Canis lupus familiaris: one gene and its partners. The protein of the gene in region 2 interacts with the protein of the main gene of each other region in a pairwise test. Links are inferred from orthologs where the notes say so. Each region holds a gene or a part of one and is shown on either strand. Other genes may lie near its edges.

What was found. The genes of interacting proteins can lie anywhere in the genome.
Region 1: the proteins of CDC5L (region 2) and PDE4DIPP2 interact in a two-hybrid assay, tested with the Homo sapiens proteins (2 studies listed by BioGRID and IntAct). The link is inferred for Canis lupus familiaris from reciprocal best matches to the Homo sapiens genes CDC5L and PDE4DIP.
Region 3: the proteins of CDC5L (region 2) and WWC1 interact in a two-hybrid assay, tested with the Homo sapiens proteins (2 studies listed by BioGRID and IntAct). The link is inferred for Canis lupus familiaris from reciprocal best matches to the Homo sapiens genes CDC5L and WWC1.

The regions. Positions count from the first base shown.
Region 1 is NC_049238.1:57,721,213-57,724,960, reverse strand, and holds the start of PDE4DIPP2 (myomegalin), read right to left. Parts: upstream 2,205-3,748; 5' UTR 2,190-2,204; coding exon 1,783-2,189; intron 1-1,782. UniProt on the Homo sapiens protein: Functions as an anchor sequestering components of the cAMP-dependent pathway to Golgi and/or centrosomes.
Region 2 is NC_049233.1:12,976,425-12,980,072, reverse strand, and holds part of CDC5L (cell division cycle 5-like protein), read right to left. Parts: intron 2,659-3,648; coding exon 2,497-2,658; intron 1,920-2,496; coding exon 1,792-1,919; intron 140-1,791; coding exon 40-139; intron 1-39.
Region 3 is NC_049225.1:44,321,144-44,324,891, forward strand, and holds the start of WWC1 (protein KIBRA), read right to left. Parts: upstream 2,490-3,748; 5' UTR 2,428-2,489; coding exon 2,309-2,427; intron 1-2,308. UniProt on the Homo sapiens protein: Regulator of the Hippo signaling pathway, also known as the Salvador-Warts-Hippo (SWH) pathway.

The DNA of each region.
Region 1 (3,748 bases), on a different chromosome or scaffold from region 2:
ACCAAAGACAGTATGAAAAGTCACATTTTTATAAAAGGAGTCTTGATCTATTTTAAATTTTGCAATAGCAATGCTCCTTTTTATGAAAATAATTCACTCCAGTATGTATAAAACAGTTAAGAAGACTTTAAATTATAAATACATATTCACATGATTTTTTTTAAATTTCAAGCTTTAAAAAAATCCAAAGTAGTCTGTGAAAAATATTCAACACCACAGAGATACATTTAAGAAAAAGTAATTGTTTAGACTAAAATTCCACATTCTAAAAAAATCAAATAATGAGTGCTTCTTGCCTCCTTCCTTCTTTTTTAAAGTTATACTTTAAGGATTTTATTTATTTGAGAGAGAGAGAGAGAGAATGAGTATGGGGGAATGGAAGAGGGAGAGGGAGAGGGAGAAGAAGATTCAGCCCTATGTGGGGCTCCATCCCAGGACCACAGGATCATGACCTGACCCTCCTAGGTGCTCCCTCTTTTTTAAGTTTTTATTTTAATTCCAGTTAATGAATAGTGTTATATTAGTTTTAGGTGCTGCCTCATTCCTTCTTAAAAGCAGTCATCTTTTTATGAGTTTCTTAATAGAAATGATTCCTTTCTAGAAATAGAAATAGATTCCTTTAAGCACTGTTAACTAAATGTCTTTGACTCCTTTTTCTCACAGTGGACAGTATGATGAATAAATACAATTAAGTGTGAATAAACTAGTTTCTCAGTTCACAAATAAAGCCTAGTCCTGAACACAGAAAGCAGTTTCCATTAATATCTAGTTCTGTAGTTAATCCTCAAAAGATCGAAACTGTGATTTTTTAAGCATAGGAAACGAGGCCTAGGGAAATCAAGCTCCTTTTTTTCACATCCTAGTTAGTTAACGGTAGCTTAGAGACTGAAGACACTCTTGCCTTGTAGTCTGATTTATGAGTACTGGGTTCCCATAAAAGAATAAGCTAAAAATGCCAAGACAAAGAAACGCTTATTTCAAAAATGGCCAATAGCACAATCTGTCTCTCCTCCCAAAACTCATATGCATGGCAGATTTTTGTGCTGCTAATGCTACATGAAGAAAATGTAGGCCTAATCTGTCCAGTCTTCCATCTCAGTGCAAAGGAAGGGGCTGAATTTAAGTGGAGCTTGTTCTGTACGGCCTCATCCGGCCAACAGGCAGAGCTCCAGCTCCCTCGGGCTCCGCAGGGGAAGAGAGCCCAGAAAGAAAGAACCATCACCAAACCCCACCCTGCTATATCTTAGGTAAATAAAAACCACGTAAATTAAAAAAACAAAAACAAAAAAAAGAGGGTGTAAGAGCAAGCAATGGGTGCTCCTTCAACGGTACACCCGTGCACATTTCCTGATCCTCTATCTCCTTTTGCTCGGTGTCCCTAATGCTTCCACCCTGGCATGGCTTCTGCATCCTGTGTTGATCTCTCCTTTGACTCGACCCAGTAGGTATGGCCTTCAACTTCATGGGCACCGACAGAGCGGGTGTCAAGACCTGGGAGAGAGACGCGTTTCCCAAGCCTTAGTCCAGCACAATCCAGCAGCACATCTTTATTTCTAGGCAACTTCCCCACCGCTCTTCCCCCCTCTCCCCCGCCACCAGCGCATCGGCCCCCCAAGACCTCCTCCTGGGTGTCCTCCGACCCCGTCCAAGCTGCTGTGAGTCGGCGCCCATCCCTCCCGGGCGCGGGATAGCCGGGCCCTGGGTCCCAGCCCCGCGCCCCGCGCCCCGCGCCCCGCGCCCCGCGCCCGCGCCGCCACCCCCCGGCTCCCGCAGCGCTCTCACCTCATCCAGGGTGCGGCGGCCGCCGCTGCCTCTTCCTCCTCGGCCGCCGCCGCCCAGCTGCCGGCCGCCTCGGGATGCCGTCGCTCCCGGCCCGGAGACTGCAGAGAGGGCTGCGGGGCTCGCGCCGCGTCCCCGGACCGGTAAGGCGCGAGGTGCGCGGGGCAGCGGCGGCGACAGCAGGACCCACCGTCCGCCCTCTTCATGGATTTCCCGGGCCCGACCGCGGTCCTCCTGGCCTCGGTCTTCCTACGGTCCTCCCGCGCCGCCCGGGAGCATCCTCCAGACGTGATGGTGGCGGAAACCTGCAAGGGCCAGGCCTCTTCCGCGGCTGCCTCTGCCACCTGCTCCGCCCAGACTGCTTCGGGGCCTCGCGCACAAACACCGCCGCAGCCTCCTCGCCCTCTCATCAACCCATTCTCTCTCCACCCACTACCTCAATCTGCAAACCTTTTCATCCCCGATAGCACTCCTTTTTGTCTTCCAATCTCCTCCAAGGTCACTGTCCTCAATTTCCCACCTTAAATGTTTCTCTTTTTCTCACGCCCTCTCCCTGTGATTTCCTGGGTTTTGCCTTCCTCCTCCCTCCAACTCAGTCATCTTTCTTTGCTCAGAGTCACTATTTTTCCAGGCCCCTGGCTAACCCCATTTCTCCTGCTTTCCCTCTTTTTCCCTCTTAAAATCTTTTTTTCCCTCTCAATTTTCCCTTTTGTTGTTGTAAAAACAAACAAACAAAACCTTTCCCCCAGAAAAAACACAGTTTTTCTTTCTTTCCCTTGAGACTCTGATTTCCATTTTTCATAAAGAACTCAAAGTATAGATCACTTGATCTCCAATATCAAGTCAAGGGGATGTATTCATGGTTTTAAAAAAGTTCGTAGGTCAAATAAATCCTCCACTTAATGTTCTTTCTGAAAAGCCCTTTCTTATATCCCAGTGTCCTCTAACAACAGAAGCTATTCAGAATCTAGCAGAGCGAAATGCTTCTGCTGCACTATATACTCACGGCTTGCAACAGAGGTTCATCTTGGTAGTAGGCACCATGGATCTCAAAGTTTACAGGCAAAAGTCAATATGGACTGTTGATGGATTCAGTGTAAACAAAGAAACTCATTCTTAACACATTTTCCTCCCAAACCTGCTGTTCAGTCCTCCCCCCCCCCCCTTTTTTTAACCCAATACTATCATTCACCTGGGCACGGTCAGAGACTTATCTCTCTCACTCATTCGCCTCATCCAGTCTTTAATTCTACTTCTTTACTATTTCTTTGAGTGTTCCCTCCAATCAGGATTCCAAATGTTTCCAGAAAATGGCACTATCAGGTATCTCACCATTCGTTCTTTCAAACCTCCCAGCTTAATCTGTCTTTACCTCTGTTTTCCCTTCAACCTATCTTACCTGGGCAATTTACCCTACCATTCCCATCTCTGCTAGAGACTCTTAATTATCTTCTGTTGTCTTTATATCTTTGGCATCACTTTCTCCATTAAGTCCACCCCTCTGCTATAAACATCCCCAAGTCTCCTCATGCCTAAAATAGAGTCCTCCCACCTCAACCTCTAACCACCATCATCTCTGGCTTCCCTTCATAACCAACTTGCTTAAATACACTGTATTCATTTGATAGCTATACTTCCTGATTCCCATTCATTCTTTACCACATCATTCTTTGCAACCCGGCTTCTTATTACTTAGACAAAGCTGTTCTCCTAGCCAACTGACTTTGGCTTTGCCCACAGAAAGGCAGTAGGTTCGATATAATATACAAAATAAAAGTAATGAATTTCCTTAATTTTTTGAGATTCTTTTATTTATTTTTCATGAGAGACACAGAGAGAGAGGCAGAGACATAGGCAGAGGGAGAAGCAGGCTCCTCAAGGGGATCCCAATGTGGACTCAATCCTGGGACTCCGGGATAACACTCTGAGCTGAAGGCTGGGGCTCAACCACTGAGCCACCCAGGTGTCC
Region 2 (3,648 bases):
ATAGACTAATTGTTCAACTATGGATGGAAACAACCATACCTTGCTTCTTCCAATTGTTTCTCTCTTGCTTTCCTCTTGGCTTTCTTTCCCTGAGTATTTGCCAGGCGGGCTCTAGCTTCAGAAAGCATCTCAAGTTCATCTGCAAGAATATAGAGAAAAAAAAAAAACTAAGTTCTCCAACAGAAACAAGGTATGTGAGAGACAAACTGTACTGCTTAAGAAGAGAAAAACCATAAATGTAACCATTATATGGTGTTATATAATGGAAATAGCCTGAGTTTTGAAGTCAGAAAAACCAAAGTTAAAAACGAGGCCCAGTACTTGGTAGCTATGTGACCCTGGTTAATTTACTCTCCCTGACCATGTTTATCATCTATAAAAATAAAATAAGTACTATTTCACAAGAATATGGAGAAGAACCAAGTAAAACATAATAGGTAAAGCATATTTATCATATAATTATATTCTTCATTATCATCAACTGGCACAGCACCAATCATGAAAAACTATCATAAAAACTACTATTTGGGGTACCTGCATTGCTTAGTCAGTTAAGCGTCTGCCTTTGGCTCAGGTCATGATCCCAGGGTCCTGGGATTGTGCCCTGCATCCGGCTCTCTGCTCAGTGGGGAGTCTGCTTCTCCTCTCCCTCTGCCTCTCCCCACTGCTCATGCATGGGTTCTTTCTCTCAAATAAATTCTTTTAAAAAAAAAAAAAAACCTACTATTTAATTACAAAGAAATTTATAATCTCCATTAGTTACACTTTTTCCCTCAGAACTATTTCTCTCTTCTAATACATTTCCATGGCTCCTAGAGTAAAACAGATTTAATTACTGATGCCTTAAAGCAACTCTTACATAAGGCTGTCCAGTGGAATCACAAGAGAACTTTAAAAAAAAATACTCAAAATTCCAGAATTACCCCCTCCTGACTCCAGCTTACTGACTCTGAACTCCTGGGGAGGCCCTGGTAACTATGTTTTTAAAAGTTCACCAAATGGGGGTACCTGGGTGGCTCAGTCAGTTAAGCATCTGCCCTCAGCCTGGGTCATAATCTCAGGGTCCTGGGATCGAGCCCCACATCGGGCTCCCTATTCAGCAGGGAGTCTGCTTCTCCCTCTCTGCCTTGCTCCTAATCTCTCTCAGTCACTCTCTCTCAAATAAAATCAATCTTAAAAATAAATAAAAATAATAAAAAAATAAGAGTTCACCAAATGATCATTATGCAGGTGGAAATCACTACCTTTAAACTTTAAAATTTTTAAATCTCAACAAATATCCACTGAATGCATCACAACAACCCTGTAGGGTAAGATAACTTATTATTCTCTATCTGGCAAGAAAGAGAATCAAATCTCAGAAAGATTATATGACTTGCCTAAGGTCAAAGAGGTAGTAAGAGGCAGACATAAGACTAAAATCCAGTTCCTTTGATTCTTGACTCAATATCTGAAAAAGGGATCCTGAGTCTCCCTCATAATACTGCAGTGCTGTCTTTCCACAAAGATTAAATTACCCGCCTGAAGTCAAAAAAGTTAATCGGACTGGAACCCCAAATCCTGTCTTGCCGCCACCACCTCTCCCCATCGAACAGGAAAGAGAAAACAGACTCCCTCAATGGCTTACTACTAGCCTTTAGGAAATCTACCCAGAAAAAAAAAAGAAAGAAAGAAAGAAAGAAAGAAAAAAAAAAAGGAAATCTGTCCAGTAGCATTACACTGCTTAATTTATTACATGAATTGAAAAATAAAAATAAAAAATAAATTCTTCAGGAGCATACACTCACTCACCCTCATCCATATCAATTGGATCAGGCCGCGCTGGTTTTGTTTCTGGATTTGGATCTATTTCTCCAGGTTTAAGTTTTCGTGGATCATCTGTTGTTTCCTCTTCGTTGTCTCTCTGTGCAGCTTTATCCCTAGAAAAAGGCCCAGAAAAGTTAGTCACACTATCCTATCATTCAGTCTTAGCTATACCAGGTTTTCTAGCGCTGGCACTCTCTTCTTTCAAAAACCCAACAGATGGGCATTCACAAAATAAAGTGATTCTACTATTGCTTCACCTGAAAGAGATGGTATTAAAATTCTCATTTCAATGAGTGTTTCCTTTCACTATAAAATACAATCCAAGTAGCTCCTTAATCGCAAATACAGGAAAGATTTACAAATAAAAACTTTTAATAAAGACTCAGGATATCCCAGTTACCTCTCTTTTGACTATGGGTGATTATTTGCTTTTTTTACAATTTTTTCCTCGACTATCCAGAATAAATATATATAATTTATATATTTCTTCTTTTAAAAAGTATATAAGAAGTATATAATTTCAATCAACCACATGAGACTTAAGAGTATATATAATTCAATAGTTTTAGTTCCTTTGCCTTTACTCAGATCTGCAACTGTATGTTTAAATACAGAACAGTGCTAAAAGTTTATTGGCCTCCTTCAGGAAACATACACACATTTTAATACTACTTTTGGAAACTGACTTACAAAAGAAACTCATAGTGTTCCAAGCACTGGGCAGCTGTTCTTCCAATGATTGGCGCAATAGTCCTCCACTGAGTTGGCATCAACTTGGCCAAATGCAAGAGTTTTTCTTCTTCTTCTCTGGACCACTCTGTTTTCTTAATGCTTGGATCCAGCCACTCATACCTATCAAAAAGATACCATTTTACACACTATTCGGTCATCTAGCATGAATATCCTATTTACACATTAGATATACTAACCTCTAGTGTCTGAAAAACACAAGCTAACTCTCAGCCTTTGATTATGAAAGCTGTTCTTCTTTCACAACCGATTATTCATTATTTGGTTAACTTTATCCCATTCAATATTCCCTAAGTCACCAAATTCTACTATACTTTAATTATGCAAGACTAGTAATGCTTGAAAAAGGTAACCTAAACGAAACATGATCATATGCCTTCTTTCTCAACTATCAAATGTTTTTTATACTTTATTAGAGGTTTTGAAATTATCTGAATTAAGACAATAACACCTCACATTTTTTGTGTTTCTAGTTTTCATAGCACTGTCTCATACTTTGATACAGTTTCCACAACACCTTGGCTTACTTCAAACATATGACTTACACTCATTAACTGCTTTCCAACATCACATGCTTTATTTGGAGTTTTTAAATTTAAGTAGAACTACTATGCCATCCTCTCCTATCACGCCACCCAACCCACCTTTTCTATCCAGTCTATTCAGCTGGCAAATAAGATATAAGCCTTATTAAATACTGGGGCAGGAGCTTAGCTCCACCAAGAGAAGCAGAAATCAAAACTTCAGGCTGACAACCATCTTCCTCTTTGGGATTCAATCTCTACATTCTGATCCTTTCTCCCACCCAGGTGCCTAGGAAATTAAGTCACTCTCATACAATCCAAAATATGATCCTAGCACCACATGGGTCAAGGCTGGCACCAGACCATTCATGCCATAAGCTTAATGTTTACACTATCCTGTCTGTGACTTAAAAGGGGACACCACAGATGCAGTGTTCGGTTAAGTTATATTCTGAGGTAGCAAACATACAGTATTTCAACTGCATTAATAAGGAAACTCAAGTAACTGTGAGCTAGCCTAAAAAATTAACCATTATTTATCGTTAATTTCTTTGGGAAAGTAAGTTCT
Region 3 (3,748 bases), on a different chromosome or scaffold from region 2:
TGGTGTGCTCCCTGCTCAAAGGGGAGCCTGCTTCTCTCTCTCCCTCTGCCCCTCTCCCCACTCATTCTCTCCCTTTCTCTTTCTCAAATAAATAAAATCTTTAAAAAAATTTTCACGTTTAGTTGATTTAAAGTCAAATATTAAGTAAGCAATGGTACAAGTCAATATAGCAGAAAATCATTATGGTGGTTCATATGGTACTAAAATTTGAAAAATAATACTCTAGCCAAGTCAATTTTCCACTTGTCCTTTTCCAGGGGTAGAAAATTACCTGTTGTTTGAGAAGCTTTCTAGAGCTGTATTCCTCTCAGAGCCCCAGAGAAGTCCCTAGATTCACAACCGAGGGTGAGTTAGCAACGCTGGGTGTGGGGCTGTCCTAGTCCTCTGACATGCAACTGCTGACAGCACACTGGCCTCAGTAAGTTGCAAGGACCAAAACCAGGCAGGAAACAGAAGACTGAACTTATGTCTCTTCTGGAAGAGAACAAGGGGCTGCCCAGTTCTCCAACACGTAACAGCGTCCCTGGGACAGATGACCCTGAGTGGGGCAGGGAAGAGAAGTGAGTCAGGACAAATCTGGAGGTTAGAACTTCAGAGATGGTAAAGAATCTGGCATATGGTGAGTGGTGGAAAGATGAAGATATTCAAGTAAGTCACACCTCTGGACCTCAAATTTTCTCTTATGTTTGAAAATAAGAGCTGGGCTCTGATCATCTATGTCCCTTCCAACTTTCAGAGTTCTACGATTACTTCTCTTCCAAACAAACCATTAATCTGACCAACGGGGAACCTGAGGCTCAGAGGTTAAAGCAGCTTGCTCATGGGATGCTTTCTCTAGCATTAAAAATTTATCTTCCAATGCCACCAGACTGACTCAGTTGGTAGAGCACCCGAATCTTGATCTCAGAGTGGTTGAGTTCAAGCCCCACAATGGGCAGAGAACTTTTCCTTTTTAAATTTCTCTTCTAAATTATATCAAAGAGGCATCCAGCGTGGTACTGAGAATAAAGCAAGCACCCAAGAAATGTTAAATGAGTGAACTTAGAGCGCTCACAGAAATTACGGGGCATCTCAATTCAAATTTTCTTTCTGCCTTTTTTTAAAACCCACACCTTGCTACACACCCCATCTTGGACTTCTGGGACCTGCATCCCAACCCTACAGGTCGAAAGATCCAAAAAATTCACCTCTATTGCGTTACAGGCACCTGACACTCAAGGTCGCACAGACCAGGTGAACATTCCACATTCCTAAGACACTGACCACAGACCAAGCCAACAAGGACAACAAAGCAATCTCAGAGGGTGGTCCTCTTCCTCCCCTTCTTCCCCCCACCCCTACATGGGGAGGGTGTGTGCAAAGAAATGACAAGCAATCAAAACCGGGAGAAAGTCTGGAAGCTCTGAGCAGTCACCTCAGACTCCACCTGCCACAGAAAAAATAAAATAGAATCCGTGCTACAGTCGCTTGGTGCCCACCAAGGTCAGGACGCGCTGGTGCAGGACTGAGGAGTCTCGGTCCCCAGAGGAAGAAAGGGTGGAGAACGAGGTGATGGGCAGGGCTTTGTGGGAGGCCTCTCACCTCCATCTATATCCTAACAGCTTCCAAGTTGCTCTAAGATTCCTGGAGAACCAGTCTTCCGATCAGCCCTCCCCCGCCCTCTTCCTTTCCTTCCCACTCCCGGCCTCCAGGCCCCCTGGCTGCTCCCGTGCTCTTCCCCGAGCCTCCCAGGCACCTGTCAAAGACCACACTCCAGGCTGCCTTCCCCTCCGCCTAGTGTCCTTCCAGCAGTTTCCCACTGAATCCTGGGTCCCTACTACCCCCTCCAAACCAGATGCTTCCCCATCTCCCCCCGGCCCCACACACACACACACTGGGGAAAGCCTCTCCGGGAAGCCCCAGAAACGCTCCGCTAGGCTGCTGCCCCAGCCCCCGCCCGACCTCGTCCTAAAGGGGGCGGGGGAGGCGGGGCTAGAGCTTAAGGTCAAAACTCTGGGCAGGTGCCGGCTGGGGCCTAAGTCCTCCATCGGGGACGGCGGCGGGGGCCGCCCGGGCCCCTGGCCGCGCCCCCCTCCAGCAGCCCACCCCGGCGGGAGCAGCGCTCCAGACGGCGGGCGATGGGGATGGGGACGTGGATGGGGACGGGGGCGGGGGGGGGGGGCGAGGGCGGCGGGGGGGCGGCCAACTGAAGAAAGCGCAAGCGGCTCGCAGAGTTCCCCGGCGGCCCCTGCCCGGTCCCCGCGGGTGGCCCCTGGGGCAAGAGGGGGCCCGGGCGGAGCGCGCGGTGTGGGGCTCCCCGGGGCCCTACCTGTCCCGCGGGTCGATCCAGCTGGTGGTGCGGCTCGTGTGGTCTATGTAGTAGACCTTGCCGTCGAAGTCGCGCGCCTCCTCCCAGCCCTCCGGCAGGGGCAGCTCCGGCCGGGGCATCTTCCCGAGCGCGGCCCGCGCTCCCCCATGCAGCTCCCGGCCGCCGCGGGGGCCCCGGCTCAGCGGCTCCGGCCGGCCGTGCCCAGCCCGGGCGGCCGCCGAGGCACCATGATGGGGGGGGAGGCTGGCGCCCGCGGACTGGGGGCCCTAGTGGGGGCCGGCCCGGGCGGCGCCGCGGTCCATGCGGCCCTGCGGCTCCGGCCCGCCGCTCCCGGGCTCCCGCGCTCCCGCCGCCGGCCTCTCACGCTGCCATGTGCGCCCGCCGCGGCGCGGTGCGGGCCCGGGGACGCGCCCGGCCGGCGGGGCAGAGCGAGCCGAGCGCCGCCGCCTGCTCCCCGCCGCCTGCTCCCCGCCGCCTGCTCCCCGCCTGCTCCCCGCCGCCTGCTCCCCGCCGCCGCCGCCGCCCCCTGGCCGGGCGCCCGAGCCCTCTCCGCCGCTCTGCGCCGCGCCGCTCTGCGCCCGCTCGGCGACTCCGGCCTCCGCCAGGTGCGGCTCGGGCCGTGCAGGTAACCGCGCTGCCCCGGAAACGGGAGGCGGAGCGCCGGGCGCCTGGGCTCCCGGGTCCCCTCCCCGCGCCCGGCGCTGCGAGGGCGGATCCTAGGACCCGAGACGCGCCCCCTCGTGGGACTGTCCGGACCGCCCGCAGCCCCGGTAGCCGGGAGGGGGCACCGCCCCTTACCTGGGCCCCGGACGCGCGCGGGGGCCCGGGTGGCCCGAGCAAGACCCGCTCGCCGCTGCTTCCCCGCGCTCCCGGCTCTCCACCTCGCGCCTAGGCTCTTGGTGCAGGTGGCCCCAAACCCTAAAACTCCCCGCTTCTCTTTTATGTAGAATCAGGAGCCAGACAAGAAGTGGTTAAATGGAAACATTCTTGCGATTCAGGGAACAGAAGTTTTCCTGGATCTCTGATCCCTTCCCCCAACACACGCACCATCTGTCTCCCTCTCCTTCCATTCTTCTCCCGGTGTGGTTTCACTGTCTCCTCTACCCTCGTAGTTGCTAATGTAGCTGGCTGTCCTCTGGGTCCCTAAAACTTGGAGTATATGCTATGAATCCCCTCCCCCCGGGGCGGCATCCAAGGGGTGCCCGGGGAAGCCTTTTGTAAAGTAACAGTAACAGGGTCTTGTGAACTGAATGGAGTCCTTAGCCCGTCCCAGGCGGGAGGCTAGCAGCGTCATGTGTGCTTCCGTCCTATGATACTTGGAGGTAGGTACGTTATGGATTTGAGGGAAGAAGAAAGCAAAGCAAAATTCCATTTTGAAAACTATTAGAAGAAATTTTAAAATCAGTATTTCTTGAGAAATTAAAGATATGTAATTAAGTA